Elephas maximus indicus: one gene and its partner. Each later gene encodes a partner of the first gene's protein in a complex. Links are inferred from orthologs where the notes say so. Each region holds a gene or a part of one and is shown in the gene's direction. Other genes may lie near its edges. The genes, in order: ARPC3 and ARPC5.

Evidence for each region.
Region 2: ARPC3 (region 1) and ARPC5 share a complex: the UniProt entries of both Homo sapiens proteins name them as parts of the arp2/3 complex. The link is inferred for Elephas maximus indicus from reciprocal best matches to the Homo sapiens genes ARPC3 and ARPC5.

What each region holds. Positions count from the first base shown.
Region 1 is NC_064840.1:9,034,841-9,044,864, reverse strand, and holds the start of ARPC3 (actin-related protein 2/3 complex subunit 3), read left to right. Parts: upstream 1-5,881; 5' UTR 5,882-6,024; coding exon 6,025-6,030; intron 6,031-8,599; coding exon 8,600-8,699; intron 8,700-10,024. Other genes in the region: GPN3 (GPN-loop GTPase 3), read left to right, coding at 1,753-1,881, 2,469-2,531. UniProt on the Homo sapiens protein: Component of the Arp2/3 complex, a multiprotein complex that mediates actin polymerization upon stimulation by nucleation-promoting factor (NPF).
Region 2 is NC_064842.1:47,116,464-47,126,381, reverse strand, and holds the start of ARPC5 (actin-related protein 2/3 complex subunit 5), read left to right. Parts: upstream 1-5,906; 5' UTR 5,907-6,150; coding exon 6,151-6,294; intron 6,295-9,138; coding exon 9,139-9,210; intron 9,211-9,918. UniProt on the Homo sapiens protein: Component of the Arp2/3 complex, a multiprotein complex that mediates actin polymerization upon stimulation by nucleation-promoting factor (NPF).

The sequences.
Region 1 (10,024 bases):
GGTGCCTCAGAAGAAAGGCCCGGTGATCTGCTTCCAGAAAATCAGCCATTGGAAACCCTATGGAGCACAGTTCTACTCTGACCCACGTGGGGTTGCTGTGAGTCAGAATCAACTTGATGGCAGCTGGTTTGGTTTTTTATTTTAGAAAATGGACTACATGGTCAGAGTCGGTCTTTCCCTAATAAGGTTTTGATAATGTCTGACGGGGCAACAAGGAGCCTTGGTGGAGCAGTGGTTAAGCACTCAGCTGCTAACTGAAAGGTCAGTGGTTGGGACCCACCAGCCACTCCGTGGGAGAAAGATGTAGCAGTCTGCTTCTGTAAAATTTATACCCTTGAAAATCCTGTGGGACAGTTCTGCTCTGTCCTTTACGGTTGCTCTGAGTCGGAATTGACAACAACGGGTTCGTTTTTTTTTGTTTGGTGGGGCAACAGTAGCGAACACAGCTACCTGGCAGCCCCTTCGTCCTGCTACTTGGAACAGTCCTGTGTTTCCCCCTGGGGAAACACCCCCTCCCACAATTCTTAGTCTTGAGGTTTAAGTGGTGCTGGCTTCCGCATTCCAGGGACAGGCACGGGCTAAGGCCAGCTAGTCGGAGCATCGAATGCCTATGACCACAGACAGGCTCGGGGAAGGGCTCCTGACTGACACAGAGCCAGGACTCTGGACTCCGGACTGGTTGAGAGAAAAGCACATTGACCAGAATTTCCACAGTAACAGTAACTGGAGCTGCCATGTGCCGCCTACGTGAGCCTCTGCAACAATCTTAAATATTTATGTCTGATCTCTAAAGGAGTTACACAGCATACTATTAACACGTAGGTTTCGTGTCTAGTGTGACCGGTGCTGAATGTTGACATTTTCCTGGTTTCTTGGTAGAGCGGGGGGTGAGGATAAAGTGGGGAATGTGGCAATATCATGATACAGAGATTTTCACAGAACAGAAGGGCAGAGAGCACAGTCGAGCCTTCTGGGAAATCAAGGTGGGAACATCAGGTCAGAAACGTAGGCCGCCTTCTCAATTTCTCAGCATACGTCTGTATGTCCCTGCTCAAGACACCTGTTCGGTCATGTCCTCAAACAACTTCTGAGTCATTGTGGAGACAACTGCAGCTGTTGCATAACTTCATGTCGCTAGTGTCCAATACCATTTGGCTGCTTTCTCTTTCTCTCTCAGGTCAAACTCTAGGGAGAGTACACCTCTGATGGGCTCAAACAGGCTTTCTTTGGTCAAAGCCGTAGGCGTCAAATTTGCTGACAAATCTGTGGATTGTAACCCCAGGTCAAATGTTTACCCTCATCCAGCCCATGGCCGCTCTTAGGAAAAGCACAGGCAACCCACTGAGATTGGTGGGGCACTGCAGGCTGCCTGGGCAGTGGCTTAATCCAGAAGTAGTTATTGGCAATGGCCAATAAATTAACTGATATGTCTAGTATTCCAGGCCATATGGGGATCTTAGAATTGTTCATGCCCTTTTGAAATTTCCCTTAGTTGGGGAAATCAGATAAATACCCATGAAGCAGCAAGTGTCCAGTTAAGTAATAAGCTAACAGTGTTCTAGTAGGTCAGAGGTCAGAAAAATCAATAATGATTTGCTGATGTTCCCTTTCCAGCTGTCTCCTTTGCCTCTCCCCTCCCCCTCCCACATTTGTAATTGGAAATACAAAAGGTTATAGAGCTCAAATGTAGGTTGAAAATGATGTATCTTGCACAGCTTCAGAGTGGATCTTTCTGAACTCCCCAACTTGCAGATCGATGACTACAGCATGGTGCGGTTCTTACCTTACGACCAGTCAGATGAAGAAAGCATGAACGTTGTATTACAGCATATTGATTTTGCCATTCAGTATGGAGAAGACTTGGAATTTAAAGAACCAAAGGTAATTTCCAAGCTTGGGCTGTTGGATGGCTTTTGGTGGCAATGGTTCCTGACACTCACTGGCCTCCTGCAAAACTCAGGCAACTCAGATTAATTTTTGTCTGAGAGGTGGCGGTGCCCCGGGCTTTCCTAGGTGAGCTCTGAAATTCACACCTGTGCTCAGCAGTCAGATCAGCTTTATTCCCCCTTTTGTTGAGACAACACGATTCAGCTAAGTCTCCTTGTAATCGGAGCTTGGGGGGTTTTGCAAAGACAAGAAGCTATGCTGTTGAGCTTGGGCTGCCCTCTCATACATCAGTGGAAAGACTGATGGTAGTCAGGCTGTTACCTGAGAATCAGTGTGAGTGACTGTAAACTCAAGGGAGAACTGCTTCTAATGACAGATAAGCGCTTTAATTTACCACATACCTGGAAAAATCCTACCAATCATGCCTTTTGTTACTCTTGGCCGTTACCTGTAAGCAACACCCAGAGCTGCTGTTGGGTGTTAGCTCATTAGAGAGTATCAGTGGGAAAATATGTAGATACATACCAGGTCTACCTGAGAGGAAATGAAATGCGTGTTCTGTTTTGTTTCCCTTGGGTCAGGAACATGAAGAGGAGTCATCTTCTATGTTCGATGAATATTTTCGAGAACGCCAGAATGAGTGAAGATTTTACTGAAAATTAACTGTGTACACGTGAAGAGCTTCTGGCTGAACCCACAAGACATTCTTCTCTTTAGAGGATGCAGTAGTAGAAAGCTACGTACTCTAATGGAAAAAAATACTACCGTCATGTACCACGTAACATCCATTCGGGCAACATCCAACTGCATATATGTCCATGGTCATGTAAGATTGTTGTTGGGGTTTTTTTTGAAAGGGGAAGCTGCTCTCCTTTTGTTTGTTACTTTATTTGTTGTAATGGCTTTAAAGACCCCAAACCCCCAGAGTGAATGAGCAGTGGGGTTCCAGGGCGCATCCCAACCCCTGCAGCACCTCGTCTTCCGTCTCCTCCTCTCCTTCCTCTCCTCCTGGCTTCGTTTACCCGTCCAGCAGCTGTGCGTCCATTCACTCCAGGTACAGGGCAGTGCCTGCCACAGCTCCTGCCGCGGTGCTGGCGGGTGGCTGGCGGGGTCTGGAGTGCTTGCAGGCTCCTGGCTCCAGGTGGCTGCACGTGATCAGGAAGCGGCCTCACCAAAACAGCAGTGGCAGCCAGAGCCGCCACCACCAGTCATGCTCCGTGGCATCTACACACCCTGTCCCCACCCCGCACCTGAACGTGCTCAAAGTCCCAATCTGGCTGCTGGTACAGCCCCAGGCCAGCCCACAGCCACATACCTGGCAGGGCCGGCCTCCTGTATCCAGTGAATACAGTTTTCAGGCAAGTCTCGTGGGTAGGTGGCGGCAGAGGCTGCTGGGCCTGGGCTGCTACTGCTCAGGCGATGGAACAGTGGGCGGGCTGGGGCCCATAATCCAGGGCCTGTCTGTGTGTAATGCGGTGTTCACACAGCATCCAAGTCGCATAACAGCCTATTTCACAGAATGTATCATGGTTGTTAAGCAACACGTGACTGTAATTGGCTCTTTGTCCGCAGATGCCTGAATCATGTTCTGAGTTATTCTGCTGCTGTTTAAAGTGGAATCATTTGGTGGTGTTTTAATTCCATCAGTTTAGGTTTTAAAAGTTGAAAAGAGTGTACATAGATTTGTATATAACATAAATTAGCACCTGGACTACATTTAAGACCAGACTAACATTTTTACTGTTTGGTTTCATTTTTGAGGGTTTTGGGGGCAGCGAGAATTACTGTAACAAAATATACACATGTATATATGTCCAAATGAAGAAATCTATGTCCAAATGAAGAAATCTAGAAGGATATAGATAAGGCTTTGCTTCTCTGTATCTTCAGTTTTTCTGCATTGAGAATGTTTTATTTGTACATAGGTAGTCCCCGATTCTTAAAACATGCTGGAGTTAGGACAAACTATACTTGTGACAGTCTGGTTTTTTTGTGTGTCCTATCACATTTTTATCACTGGTACCATGTACTGCATACACTGTTGCAGTGTATAATTGGCTGGTGCTCTCATCCTCAGAAGTTCACTCGCAGATGTTCAAAGGTCAGATTTATAAAGATACTGACAATAAAAGACAATAATAATGAAAACTTAAAAAAAAAAAAAAGAGGTATTGGAGTTACATCAGAATTGACTTCCGATGGACTCGCCTTGAGTCAAGGACTACCTGTAGTTAAAAAATTTAAATAACTATTTAAAAATGTATGCACCCACACACACAAAAGAAACAAAAAGGTAGCACTAGCCCTTCATTACACTCTTGTTTTCCAGTCAGAATTTGGAGCAGTCAGGGCACATTTTTGAATGAGTAGGTTTCACCCTTTTGTCAAAATGCAGGCAGTGATTTTTCTTTTTTTAAACAAAGTTTGTAGCCTGAGCATTTAAAATTTTGTACTTGCCTTGAATAATAACAAATACTAAAATTTTGAAAGATGTAACTTTTTTCTTTTTAATTCTTGCTACACTGAATTATGTAGACCCCTTCGAAAAGCTGCTGTTAGGGATTGAATTGTGTCCCCCAAAGAGCTAGCTAGCTTGAAGTTCTAAGCCCTGGTACCTTTGTCACTTGGAAATAGGGTCTTTGAAGACGTTATGAATTAATATGAGGGCATCCTGGAGTAGGGTGGGCCCTAATCCAATATGAGTGATGTCCTTACAAAAGAGAAGAGACAGACACAGGGCAGAATGCCATGTGGTCATGGATGCAGAAATCGGACTTGTGCTACAGTTGTAAGCAGAATGCTAGGGGCTACCAGAAACTGGGAGAGACAAAGGATCTTCCCCTGGAACCTTCGAACAGAGTGTGGTGCTGCTGACACCCTGAATTCCAATTTATAACCTCCAGAACTGTGAGGGAATAAATTGTTGATTCTGAGCCACTCACTTTGTGATACTTTGTTACAGCAGCACTAGAAGTCTAATAAGGCGCAGTTTGGCCAGAGACCTAGATGAGAAGTCAGCTGTAGGAACATGTGGCAAGTAGAGTGTTCCAGTTTGAAAGGCTGCCAGAAGAAAAGGCTCCAAGGCAGGAAGGAACTTGGCTTACGTGAGGTCCTTTCTAGGAAAGGACTAAAAACTACTGCACTATTCATATGTTCCAGCCATGCAAGTTCAAAGTATTTTGCATGTAATTCATTTAATTGTCAGAAAGCACGGTAGGTACTGTTATTTCCATTTTCAGTTGAGGAAATTGAGGCACAAAGAGGTTAAACCAAACCAAAGGTGTTGCGGTCACATTGATTCTGACTCAGTGACTCCTATAGGACAGAGTTGAGGTGCCGTGTAGGGTTTCCAAGGAGCAGCTGGTGGATTAGAACTGTCAACCTTTTGGTTAGGAGCCAAGCTCTTAAGCAGTGCACCACCGGAGCTCCATAAAAAGAGGCAGCGTGCCCACAGTTATGCAGCTAGTACATGTTAGAGCTGGAATTCAGACTCGGTGCACACTCAAGCTTGAAAGAATAAATGCGTGATTCCCTTCACTTGTTCTCCAGTTTCCTCATTTTTAAGAGTTCGGCTCATTCATTCAGCACATATTTATAGATGTTTACTATATACCATCAGTATTATGGGCCTGGGGAATAAGCAGGGAACCGAAGGGGCAAACCTCCTTCCTGACGCTTCCGTGGTGGGGTGGCACAAACATCGAATGTAAACTAAATAATAGAATATACGAGGAGTATTTTTTTTTATGAGAAAAGGTGGGAAAGAAGGACAGGTAAGGCGGGGTTGGACTGGGATTGAATTTAAAATAGGGCGGCCGGGGGAGGTTTCACTGAAAAGATGGTATTTGAGCAAAAACAGCAGGTCATTGATCACCGAGATCCTGTAACCTTAAGACCCAACTACCTTTCGTGCGCGCCTTATGCACGCACAACGGAGTCCCTGTCTAGTGCTCGGGCGCCCCCTGGCGTCCCTTCGGCTCCCCGCAGCCGCAACAGCCATCTGCGGGACAGAACGCCGGAAGCGCCTCGCCCTCCCCTTCCGGCTCACTTCCGCCTACCCCGCCCGGGCAGCCAGGCCGGAAGCGCGGCGCTCCAGCAGATAGTGCACAGTTGGGTCCAAACTCGGGCGCCGCGAAGATGCCGGTGAGGGGCCGGGCCAGGGGTGTGGGGAGACGGCGGGGGTTGGGGGGAGCGGTGAGCGGTCTTGTGCGCGCAGAGAGGAGCGGGCCGAGGAGGGCGGAGAGGAAGCGGGGGCCTGGGGGAGAGCGGAGGCGAGGAGTGGAGGCCTCGGTGCCGGCTTCGGGGCGGCCGGGGTGTGGGATGCGGGAGCCAGGAGGAGTGGGCCAGAGTCCCGGGCGTGCGGGGAGGCCGCCCCAGCACTTCCCGCCCCTTCGCTCCAATCCTGACCCCCTTCTCGCCCCTTCGGCTCTGCCCCCAAGCCCGGCAGAGTCCCTAAAGGCTCGCTGGAGCCGTAGCCAAGGGCTGGGCTTTTTACTTTTCGTTTTTTCAAGTCCAGGGACCGGCTTCTCCTTTTTCCTTGTCAGGCCCACTTCCTCCTCGGCCTGGGGGCGGTCCCTCTCGCTGCCTGTCATCTTTCAGACCCCACTTCCCGGACTCCTCCCTTGTCGCCTCGGCAGTGGCGTCCACCCCCCAGAACCCGCTCAAGGCCGGCGCCTGATTTACAAATGCTTCCGTTTTCCTGAGCTTCGAAATGGGAGTAAAAATTGATGAAGGTCTGGTTGTCCTTCATTTCTGACAGCCAGGCTACGGGGTTAAATTTATCGCCGTCATGATCGTCACTTTGCAGATAGGAAAGAAGAGGCTCAGTAACGTGTTTATTCATACAGCAAACATTATTGAGTACTTACTGCATGCTGAGCGCTCTTACAGTAGTAAGTCCAACAAACTCCTATTCTACTGAGGAGACGGTGAACGTGTAAACAGATAAAGGAGATCATTTTAGATAGTGACAAGTGCTGTGAAGGAAATAGGCAACAAGACGGTAACTGGTGAAGGGGAGGGCAGACAAAGTCTCTGTATTATGAGAAGGAGCAGGCCATAATTATAGCTATATATGTTATGAATCCTGTTTAGAAAACTCACAAAAACCGGTTACCAGTCGATTCTGTTCTGACTCATGGCGACCCCAGGTGTGTCAGAGTAGACCTGTGTTTCATAGCGTTTTCAATGACTGACTTTTCAGGACTAGTTCACCAGGCCTTTCTTCCTAGGGGCCTTTACGTGAACTCCAACCTCCAGCCCTTGTGTTAGCAGCGAGTGTGTTAACCGTTTGCACCACGCTGGAACTCCGGGAATCGTCTGGCTACCATTTATTGATCCCCGATGCGTGCGGGGCGTGCCCCCCTTTATTAGCTCCCAGAGTACCGTGGGCGTCGCCTGTGATTACTTATTTAACGTCTGTTTTCTCCATTAGCCTGAAAGCTCTCTCAGGGTGGGGACCAGACTGGTTTTGTATGCCACTGTATCACTATAGGGTTGCTGTGAGTCGGAATCGATTCAACAGCAGTGGGTTTGGTTTTTTTTTTTTTTTTTTTTTATCACCGTGCCTTGCACGTAGAACCAAAAAAAACTAAACCCATTGCCGACAAGTCGATGCCAACTCATAGCAACCCAATGGGACAGAGTAGAACTGCCCCCATAGAGTTTCCAAGGAGCGCCTGGTGGATTCAAACTGCCGACCATTCAGTCAGCAGCCGTAGCGCCACACTACTACACCACCAGGGTTTCCTGCATATAGAAGGTGCTTAGTAATTGTTCATGGAATGCATGAATGGGGCCCATGTTGTCTTACTTGTTAGAAGCAAAGCAAAGAATCAGCATGCTGACTGCTCTCAAAAATGTGGCTCTCTTTTTCTTCTTTTAACTCACCCCTACCCACTGAAGGGAAACCCTGGTGGCATAGTGGTTAAGTGCTACGGCTGCTAACCAAAGGGTTGGCAGTTCGAATCTGCCAGGCGCTCCTTGGAAACTCTATGGGGCAGTTCTACTCTGTCCTATAGGGTCACTATGAGTCAGAATCAACTCAACGGCACTGGGTTTGGTTTGGTTACCCACTGAACGTAGTATACCTCTTCTCGTTTTACAAATTGGGAAACAGACTAAGAGAAGAAATGTGACATCTTGGTGAATGACATAAAGCCTGGAAGTGGCAGAGCTGAAAAGCTAGTACTTGGATCCTGGCAAATATTGAACAAGCAGCGATGGGAGACTACCCCTAATTCATATAGTGTTTGCCAATTTCTGTGGTGTAGATACTCTTACCAGCCACCAGTGTGATGTCACTGAACATGGAATTGGGAGAAGATGCACAGTTGCACCCCAGTATATAGTATTTATACCACAAAGATACAAAAGATGTAACTGAGGGCATCAGCAATAATAAAATGTAATAATTAAGAAGTGATCAGTTTAGAGCTTTTTTAAAAACCTACAAAAACCTTTGTTTTAAATACAATTTATTTAATTGTAAGTTTATATAATTTAATTTTTAATAATGGCTGTGTTTAACAACCAGCTTGCAGTATTCCTCAAAATTGGCTCATGAGCTGGTAAGAGCCAGCTCCAGCATACCCCTGCTGCCTTCTTTTTCTCCCCTAGTTAATCTTGGATGGGGTCGCCTTTTTTTTTCGTCTGGTCTCATGACATTTGCACTCTTTCTGCTTCCATATTCTTACCTGGCTTGCCATTACAGGCCTACCACTCTTCTCTCATGGACCCTGACACCAAACTCATTGGAAACATGGCGCTGCTACCTATCAGAAGTCAGTTCAAAGGACCAGCCCCTCGAGAGAGTAAGTCTAAATGCTTTTCCATCCCTTTCAGATTTGGGCGTAGAATGCCTGGCAACCCTCTGACATTATCAGATCAAGGCAGTTCTCGTCTCAGTCCTATGTCTCACGTTGCTCCTATACTTCCTATCCCTTGGCGATGCTGTGTTCTAGGCCTTTCATGATCACTGTTAAATGTGTTGCATCTAGCAGGAAACTGTATAATTGCTGCTGATTTCTCCAGGATATTTGTGGAGAGGGAAGAGGAAATGTGCTTGATCCTGGCCACTGTTCCTGCCTTCACTGTCAGTTCTCTCCGGCTAATGCCGCTGCCTCTGTAGAATGACAGGTCCCCATCCTTTCTTCGTCATCAAGCTTTAAAAAAAAAAAATGACTTCCCTATCTACATTTACTCCCTTTATCCATTCCTCTTTATACCTTTTATAACATTACTCATCTGTACTCTTGCTTTATTTGATATTACGTCTTTGTTTTCTTTCTTGGTACTCTGCCCCTCCCCCCCCTTTTTTTGGTACTCTGCTTTTTGAAACCGATTTTATTGTTCAGAAAGCCCTATTCTTTTTCATATACTATCTGAGACTCTTCTGACGTATTCTGAAATGTCCTGCCAATAGCATAATTTGTATTTTATTAGATAGGATTTCTCTACACCCAGGGCAGAGCCCTGGAGGGTCTGAACTGAGTTCCATTCATGGTTTCCAAGACCGCGGTTATAATACCTGTTTTCTACTGACCCCATCTCCATTCCACTGCCAAACTATTTGACATGACCTTGTCTTAATTTAATTCTTCTTCAACACCAGTTTATTGCTCAGTAAACTTAATAAATTTGGTGAGTCACCACAGTCTTTACTTGATTCCGGATGAAGGAAAAGGAACAGATGGAAAACGACCTGAAAGGGAGAAAAATATGAACGCATTGGAGTGCAGAGAAAAATTAAGAATCAGCGTTGGCTCAGATTCCTTGAAAAGAAGTATACAGATACCATCTGATACATGCGAAGATGTGCTTGACCGAGGGTAGAATAAATCTAATTACTACCTTTGCAGTTCTTTGTCCCTTAAGAGAGAATGAGACCCTCTGAAACCAGATCTTTGTGGTTTCTGTAGACAAAGAATGACTTCATGCTCTCTGCTCAAGGGCTAAATTATAATGGAATTGGATCCTGGAAAAGAGAAAGCCTTTGCTGTATACTAGATAACTGTTATTGTTATGCGTTGTTGCAGTGTAGTGAATTACTGTAGTATGGCCCTTCTAGTCATGGTCTTGCGACCCCTACAAAATGATTGGGTGGAACTATGCAAATAAGATGCTTGTGGTCCACCAA
Region 2 (9,918 bases), on another chromosome or scaffold:
CTTCAGCAAACTGGCAATGGTGACATTAAAGAGTATCACCACCAACACACATGTGGAAACTCCAAATAAGGAAAATATAAATCACTTTCAGCCAATGAACAAATCAATAACCATAGAAAATAAAGATGACCAAAGACCTACCTCTAAAAAGATCAGCAAGCTCAGATAGTTTTGCAGGTACATTCTGTAACGTTCAACGAACAAGTAGCATGGGAACTTTCTATTACTTGAAACTATTCCAGACCATAAGAAAAACATGTAAATCTTCCCAATTCATTTGACAAAGCTAGACTAACCCCAATATCAAAACCAGATAAAAAAATGAAACTATGAACCAATCTTACTTAAAAACATAGATTCCGAACCATATAAATGAAATATAAGCTAATCAAATCCAGGAAGGAATTAAAAGAATAACATTCAAAAACCAAATAGAGTGTATGCTAGGAATGTGGGAATGTTTCAATGTAGAAAACTATATAATTCATTACATTAATAAATTTAAAGTTTAAAATGATATGACTTTTACCATTAGATACTCACAAAGGCATTTGATAAATTAAGCAGTCATTCCTAAAGATCACAAAGCAATAATAAATATAATATCAACTAGTGAAATACCAAAGATATTTCCATTGAAACAGGAACAAAGCATGGAAGCCTACTTTCACCCAATTTCTCAATACCGTTTTCAAGATTCTACTTAATGTAATAAGAAAAATAAATGAATATAAATATTAGAAAGGAAAATGTAAATTATCATTATTTCAAATAGTTTGATATAACCTTAAAGCAACTATTATTAATAAGCGATCCCAGTAATGGGAAAGAATAAAGGATAAATAAATATTTTTTAAATCAATAGGTTCCCTTTAAATCATCATAAACTAAACCAAAACCCATTGCCGTCAAGTCAATTTCAACTCATAGTGACCCTATAAAAAGACCCTATAGGAGAGAGTAAAACCGCCCTGTGGAGTTTCCAAAGGCTGCTAGTGGATTCAAACTGCCAACCTTTTGCTTAGCAGCTGAGCTTTTAACCATTACGCCACCAGGGCTCCTTATATCCTCATAAACAAAACCAAAAAACCCACTGCCATCAAGTCGATTCCAACTCATAGCAAACCTATAGAACAGAGTAGAACTGCCCGATAGAGTTTCCAAGGAGTGCCTGGCAGATTCAAATTGCTGACCTTTTGGTTAGCAGCCTTAGCTCTTAACCACTATGCCACCAGAGTTTCCTATATCCTCAGGGAATATAAAATTAAATGGAAAAAAAGGCTCATTTACAACAATGTTTCAAAAACAATGTTCACTCTTTCATTCAGCACTATTTATCCTGAGACAAGAGTACGATTTATAGTTTTTTAAATCTTTGCGAAGTATTATTATCTAATTAAAGGCCCTACTGAAAAATATTTCACCCTATCTATTTCAGTGAGTAATCATAAACTTATGTAACGCTAAAAATAATAAGAAAAAACTTGAAATTTTGAAGGTTGGTTGTTTCAGCACAGAAACAGTTGATTTGAGCATGAAGTAGGAGTAAATTAAACCATTATACAGTTTATGGGTAATACGATAAGGATCTTTATATTACAGAAATGTCAATAGGGAATAATGATATTAAATCATCATTACCAGAGCTGAGTTTTACCTTTATTTTATATGTATAATATACATTTGACATATTTGATTAAAATGGAGTATATTTTCATTTCCAATAATAAAATAATAGTGCCATGCTTGCAGGGTTCAATGTCTTGGTTTGTTTTTTTAAGTACTTAGTGGCAATTCTGGGGGAAAACGCACATAGTAGGAGAGTACTTGGTTTTTAAAATGTGAAAAGAAAGACCTATTATAATTTTATCAAAATCCCTTTTAATTAAAAGGATCCTTGTTCTTTGCATCATCACACAAAAAGGAGCTACATGCCAGCATGTAGCATAAACCTTGAGAAAACTCAGATTCAATCTTGCTTTCCTATTGGGCCAACCAGGTTATTTTGCACAATAAAATGTCTTCAGTACACAATGCTGGGGGAAGCCAGCACAACTTGTATGAGGCAAGATCATGTAAGCTCCACAGACACATCAAAACTCCCTGAGGGACCGAATTACTAGGTCGAGGGCTGTTCGGACCACAGTCTTGGGGAACATCTAGCTCAACTGGCATAACATAGTTTATAAAGAAAATGTTCTACATTCTACTTTAGTGAGTGGCGTCTGAGGTCTTAAAAGCTTGTCAGCGACCATCTAAGATACACCACTAGTCTCACTCCATTGGGAGCAAGGGAGAATGAAGAAAACTAAAGACACAGGGAAAGATTAGTCCAAAGGACTAATGGACCACAACTACCACAGCCTCTACCAGGCTGAGCCCAGTATAACTAGATGGTGCCCGGCTACCACCGCTGACTGCTCTGACAGAGATCACAATAGGGGATCCTGGATAGAGCTGTACAAAAATGTAGAACAAAATTCTAACTCACAAAAAAAAGATCAGACTTACTGGCCTGACAAAGACTGGAGAAACCCTGAGAGCAGGGCTCCCGGACACCCTTTTAACTCAGTACTGAAGTCACTTCTGAGGTTCACCCTTCAGCCAAAGATTAGACAGGCCCATAAAACAAACAAGACCAAAGCGGCACACCAGCCCAGGGGCAAGGACTGGAAGGCAAGAGGGGACAGGAGAGCTGGGAATAGGGAGTCCAAAGTCTAGAAGGGAGAGTGTTGACACGTCATGGGGTTGGTAAGTAATGTCACAAAACAATATGTGTACTAACGGTTTAAAGAGAAACTAGTTTGTTCTGTAAACCTTCATCTAAAGCACAAAAAAGAAAAAGTCTTAAAACCTTATGAATAGTTTATGTCAGGGTAAGTACTCATTTAAAATACTAAAATAGGCAGAATCCTAGTACCTAAAATGAATTAACTATTATGGTTAACATTAAGTAACTGAGATAATAATTTTTTAATTAAAAGATAATTAAGAATGAGTTTCTTCCCCCAAAACAGTTTCCCTAAAGCTGTATAACTATTTAACTATTAGCTAGCGGAGCATAGGGAGCAATATTAACGTATCCATTCAAAAATACTCAGTCTCTAAATGCGATCCCTAAAGTTACTTGTCAGATCATAAATTTACTTGATAGAAATTTATTGAGTGCCTGATACACTAGGCACTTAGATCATTGTGAGACAATAAAAAATACTGCATTGGAAAAAGACCTTTTGACATCTGAAATGTAATACACATTTTGGGGCTGAGAATTAATTACATTTAAGACATTCAACACATTCTGAGCAATCAAAACAATTACACCCATGAGCATCCCCAATTTTTTAAAGTCTTCTCACTATTCTCTTAAATTGATTTCTATCAAGGGAGTCTTTCCCAGTTCTAAAATAAGACAAAAAGAAATTTCCTAGATAAGAATACAAAAGAATAGAAACGTAAGAAAAGGAATGAGTTAGGTCTTGAATCTTTGTTCCCATTTGTTCAACAGTGCTTTTAATGCGCAATTTTCTCTTTAAGAAAAATCTTGATTTAAAAGAACAAAAAGTACAGTCTTTAGCATCTCAAGAAGAATATTGTTTAGCTCATACTAAAGTTAGCAAAAGACTGAAACTGAGAAAAAATATTTAAATACATCTACATTCTAAGTTATATAATGCCATTCAACATAGTAATAACCTGATACTTTGAAATATGACATTTTAAAATAAATATTACCAACAGCTAGAAAATTTTCCTTTGCTGTTTTAAGAGAATTCTAGGGGAGTTTGTAATTTGAATGTCAATTTAAGGAAATGTCGCTTTTATCATCTAAATTCTGTCTTCTAGAATGGGCATTTTATTGGGAAAAGAAAAAAGCCACATTGCTTTTTCCTCCCAAGGAAAAAGGATGCATTCCATTCTTGAGGAGTGTCTGTCTGTCTCTCCCTCTTTCTCTCTCTCCTGTCCTCCCTTGTCCTTTCTCTCTCTGTATATATATATGACATAAGGTTTAATTTGACATCTTTCTCTTCTTACTTATTCATTATTCTCAGTGTGATCCTCAACCTGTACTGCCTTTCACACTTCATCCATTCATCAAACATTTATTCAGTACCTTCTGCAGGTAAAGGAAGATGCAAAATAAATATAAGACAGGTCTCTGTCATCCAGAATCTTGCAATCTCTCCGAAGAGCAAGATAAAACATGATATATCATTAAGTAAGCTAGAAGGCTAATGCCAAAGCCAATGGTACAGGTAATAAGCATTTTACATATATGTACAATTTTAGAGCTTCAAAACACTTTTGTGTATTTAAACCTCAGAACAATCTAGTGAAGTAATCATTACTATCCCCATTTTTGCGATAAAGAACCTGAGATTCAGAATTTTAAGTGGCATGCCTCAACCAAACAGATGATGAGTGAAAGAACCAAGACTCAAGCCAGGGTCTTCTGATTCTAAGCCCAGGACTCTTTTCAATACACCACAGGAAAACAAGGATTGGAGTACTCAACAGGGGCAACAGCCAGCCTTCTCCCAGAGGTGGAACTAAACTGGACTCATAGGATGGCAGGAAAATATGAAACCACCTGGGCAATGTCCAACGAAATGTCCAAATTAATTGTATTCTGCAAATATTTGGGCTTATCATTAATTTGTACTTCAGTGTAATACACAGCACAACTACCATGTCCTTAGTGGCTTTACCTCTTATGCTCTCAGATACTAGGATGTCAAATATAATTAAGAAGCTGGTCTAGTGGAGTCATGTAATTCATAAATACAAATCTTAAAGACTGGTTTCTACTAATCCATAAACATTTGGTTTTCCTTCAGCACCAGAGCCTACCTCGCCCCACCTTTCTCTAGCATTCTTGCTCCAACCACTTATTTTAAGATATCAATGATGAATGATCCTACCCCAAATTCTACACGTTCACCCCAGTTTTGCCACCTGACTCCAGCCCTGCCCAGACATCTTCCCCTCCCTCCCGATAGATATGATACCGAGTTTAGGTTCTGCAGGTCCCGTCACGATGCTGTCACCAGCACTGAGAGATAAGATATGACCTTTTGACTCCGTCCTTGGAAGCCTCTGACTGGCCCTGCAGCGTAGTTCTACCCTCGGGGAAAGGGCTCCCAGCTGGGGAATGCACCCCGGGTGGAGCGCGTTCCGAAGCGATGTCTTCGACAACTAGCACGATGCTGGGCACACGGGAGTGCACCACTCCGCCCCATACTCCTGCCAGCTGCAGGGGGCTGGGTCCGGCAACCAGTCCATCCCACCGCACTGGCAAGTCGGGGCCAGCCGGACCTTACGCAGGACTCCAATGACTGCTCAGCGGCGGCGGTAGCGGCAGCAAAAGCCAAAGCCACCCGCCCCCGGTGCCCATAGCCGCCAACCTAGGACCCCCCCGCCACCAGGCTGGACCGCAGAGAAGCGTTTCTATGGGAACCCCCTGGGCACCACGTGATGCACTCGGGCGACCAATCGCCGCTCCCCTCTGTCCGCGGTACGGCTTTCCGCCTTCCCTCTTATCCCGCCCCCGCCCCTTCTCCTGGCCCCACCCCTTTCCTGCAGAGAGTCCGCGTCTGCGCGTGGGGTCCTGCGCGCTCCCTCCCTGGCGCGCCCCTTCCCTGGCGCTTGCTCCCTCCGGCGCGCCCGCTCCCTCCCTGGCGCCCGCTCCCTCCCTGGCGCGCGCTCCCTCCCTGGCGCCCGCGCACCCGCTCCCTCCCTGGCGCGCGCTCCCTCCCGCGCGCCTGCTCCCTCCCGCGCGCCTGCTCCCTCCTTCGCCCGCTCCCTCCCGCGCGCGCTCCCTCCCTGGCGCCCGCTCCCTCCCTGGCGCGCGCTCCCTCCCGCGCGCCCGCTCCCTCCTTCGCCCGCTCCCTCCCCGGCGCCCGCTCCTTCTCCGGCGCGCGCTCCCCGGGAGCGCGGGGGCGGCGTGGGAGGCTAGAGTAGGGCCTGAGGCCGAGGAGGCAGGAGCGGGGCCGGCGCGCAGGCTCAGAACCGGCTGAGCCGCTTCTGCCGGCGACGCCCCTGAGCGGAAGAGGGAAGTGGAGGCGCCAGCCTGCGGGTTCCTGCTGGACTGGGGTTGCTGTAGTAAAGGTAGCACCGAGGGGAGGCCTTTGCCACCGGTGGGGTTTGGGGATGTCGAAGAACACGGTGTCGTCGGCCCGGTTCCGGAAGGTGGACGTGGATGAGTACGACGAGAACAAGTTCGTGGACGAGGAGGACGGGGGCGACGGCCAAGCCGGGCCCGACGAGGGCGAGGTGGACTCCTGCCTGCGACAATATCCTTGCGCTGGCTCCTCCGCCCCCGGCCCCTCTCCCCGGACCCCGCCGCCCTGCAGAGTCCGAGGACCACGGTCTCCTCGCGGGGACGGGCGCGGAGCTGCCGCCTGCGGCCCGCGGTGAGCCTGTCCCATTGGGGTCCCCCACTCTGAGACTCAGAGAGAGGCTCTCCCGGTTCTAACCGAGCCGCCTCGGGACTGCAGGCTCCCGCCCTCGGCGACCTGCCCTTGGCGCGGCGCCTCCCACGCCCCGGTTCCTCAGGTGGCGCGCAGAGTGCCTGCCCCCGGGAGCCCGCTCTGCTGGCCGCGCCCTCGAGGCGCTGGGGCGGCATCTGGCGCTGGGTAGTGCCGCGGCAGGTCAGCTGTTCCTCCCCAGAATGGCGCTTCTGGGTCACGTTAGCCAGAAAGTGCTGATGGCCGGTGTCTGTAGGGGTTTGGGTGGGGAGAAAGGGTGGTAGTGGTTTGTTGGTTTGTTGATTTGTTTCGGGTAACGTTAGCCTAGTTTATTATTTCCGGGAGGATTGGGGTGGTTGGCAGAATTGAAGCCCTGTGTCTTTTCAGCCTGTGAACTTTTTTCTTTTCTTCCGTTTTTTTAAAACGAGAAAAAAACTGGCAAAATACAGGTTGCACAGAATTTGTTAATCGGAGGAGGGAAGTGAGTACAAAAACCTCAAAACTCCCAGAAAGGAAGCTTGAAGCCCTTTACTTGCTAAAAGGACAATACAAAGAAAACGGGGAATGCATGTGCAGAATCCCAAGAAGTACTTCAAATAAACCCCAATAAATAGAAGATAAGTCGTTTGTGTAAAGCAGAATCGCTTTTGTAATCCTGAAATTGTTTCCATTTTAAAGCGTAGCTGTCAGTTCCTGGTTTTGATTTTTGCATGTTTGAATATTCATAACTTGTAATTAACACTTGCATCAGATCTTTTTAGAAAAATGTAGATGTTGCAGTAACAGAAGGTGTAGTTTTAGAGGTTCTCAATGACTGAACTTAATGCTTTTCGAATTTTTCTTGAGCGTATGGGTAAGATAAAGAAAGCTTTTTATACCCTTTCCTCACGATGTCCCATTAAACTTTAAAGGAGAAAATGTATGAATGAAAGTATTTGGTAACAACTGTATCCAGTCTTGGAAACCCTGGTGGCGTAGTGGTCACAGAGTTCTAGTGGTCACAGAGTTCGGCTGCTAACCAAAAGGTCCGCAGTTCGAATTCACCGGGCGCTCCTTGGAAACTGGGGGGCAGCCTACTCTGTCCTATAGAGTCACTATGAATCAGAATCGACTCCAGGGCAACGGGGTTGGTTGTTACTTTTTTTAGTTTTGGTGTATAAAGGCACCTAAAATGCCGCACTTAACATTCAGGAACATATGGATGTTCCATTGGTTTCTGCCCCCTTCACAATCAGCGGTTACTATTTTGCATTATTTAAATTTTGTAAAGGTTTTTGCACCTTAATGAGCCTACAAAAGGCATGCTTCTCTAGAAGTTCATGCAGCCTTGAAAATAAGTTTATACCACCAACTGTATTTGTCAGACCTTTCCCTGCAGAAGATAAGTGGTGACTATTATTCTTTTTTTAAATCATTCTTTGTGATGAATAGATATTTTGTGAGATTAACGTATTTTAGGTGATTTGTAATGACTCTTAAACGGTACCGCTGTATCAATATCAGCGGGGCCTGCTTTTGAATTAGTTCATCTTAAAACATAAAGATATTGTTTCTCCTACCCTTGTGACAACCAAGGGAGACAGCCCTGCCTGCACAGAGGGAGTCAAGCACCAGAGATGGAGGAACAAGTGAACTCTGTGTGGTTTTCCTTATAGGGGAATGACTGTACATTCTAACAGTATGATTGGCCTAGCGTTTCTCGTGTTGGCTTACTCACTGGTGCTTTCATAGAGGGACTGAGTTTAATAAATATAGTCTAAGGCGGTTTGAATAACCTTTATGAAATATGAAAGAAAATACCCAAAACAGAGAATTTAAGCTGCCACCTAAGGGTCATATGAATTATTACACTGTCTGTAATGCCTCTTCTTATCAATACTAAGAGATTATTGGTGTGGGTTTTTATCATTCAGATTACCAGGGTACCCTACCAGCATTTTCGACCAGCATTTTAATTAATACAGAATATAGTTCTAGTAAAAGTTCAGTCTTTTTTTCCCCCCTCAGTTAAAATCGTAAAAAGATGTATTTTGATTGATGACAGGCTGTTTCACTTTGGAATTTAATAATTCTAATATACCTTTTTTAATATACCTTTTAGATTTTCTTTAGTACCACTCTGGATAATGTGCATATGTGTCTCATGGGAGAGTGAAAGGCATTCATTTGACAGTTGAGAACCGAAAAAAAAAAAAACTAAACCCATTGCCATTGAGTAAATTTCAACTCGTAGTGACCCTATAGGGCGGAGTAGAACTGCCCCGTAGGGTTTCCAAGGCTGTATGAGTCTGAATCAACTCAGTGGCAATGGCTTAATCTTTACGGAAGCAGACTGCTGCGTCTTTCTCCTTGGAGCCTTAGAGCTTTCGAACCAGTGACCTTTCAGTTAGCAGCCAAGTGCTTAACCACTGTGCCACCAGGGCTCCTTGATAGTTAAGAACCAAAGGTGAAATAGTCTTAAGGCTAATGTTCTCTTTTGTTTTCAGTATTTTACCTTTGATTGACATCCTTGAAATCAATGGATTGAATTTCCAATATTGAAGAACATCGTGACTGTAGCAATTTTTTCTCTTTGTACATAAACTCAGGTCCTAAAAACCAATGGTTCTTGAAAGTTATAAAGCTTACCTGAGGGCTGCTCTTTGCTGTTATCCCCTTAACTTCCCTCACAGGAAACATGACAGCCGCCCTACAAGCAGCTTTGAAAAACCCCCCTATCAACACCAAGAGTCAGGCGGTGAAGGTGAGTCACAGACAGCAAGATGGTCCTTGCTGACATCTTTATTCATACCAAAAGCATTTGAAGTTTCACAGAATCAACAGATATTTTAATTATTCCCTCTCTTTGACATGAAAGAGCTTATAGTTTAGTTTGCTAAGTTAAAATTTATAAAAAATAACATTTGCGTTGAGTTATGACAGTGCTACATGGTATACACAGTAAGTTCAAAAAGTTCAAATGACAGAGAGGCCACTCCTGTGGGCATTTTTAGAGGAGGCCCCGCAGGTTGAATTTAAACAAAGAATAAGTAAAACATTTACAAAAATAAACACACTGTTTGCATGCTTTTAGAAGATTTATTAAAAATCAAACTAGTACTAAATATTTATTATAGAAAACAGATATGGGGGGATTAAAAAGGTACTGACCCATAATCCCACCACCCAGAGATAGCAGTTGTTACCTTTTGGTGTGGCTGTATGCTTGTAGATTTCTTTCTGGTTTTGTTTTTTTTTTTTTTTTAATGGAGTTTTACAACCTTTTTCAACTGTAGAGCGATATACATGAAGTTCTTTCCTTAGTAATAAGGAAATAATCTTTAATAATGTAATCATTTTTAATAGCTGCTTATTGATATGCTGTGGTTGATACATAACTAATCCCCTGTGGTAACACATTTAAATTATTGACCATTGTTTTCCTGTACTGTACTGAAATGAATAATTTTTT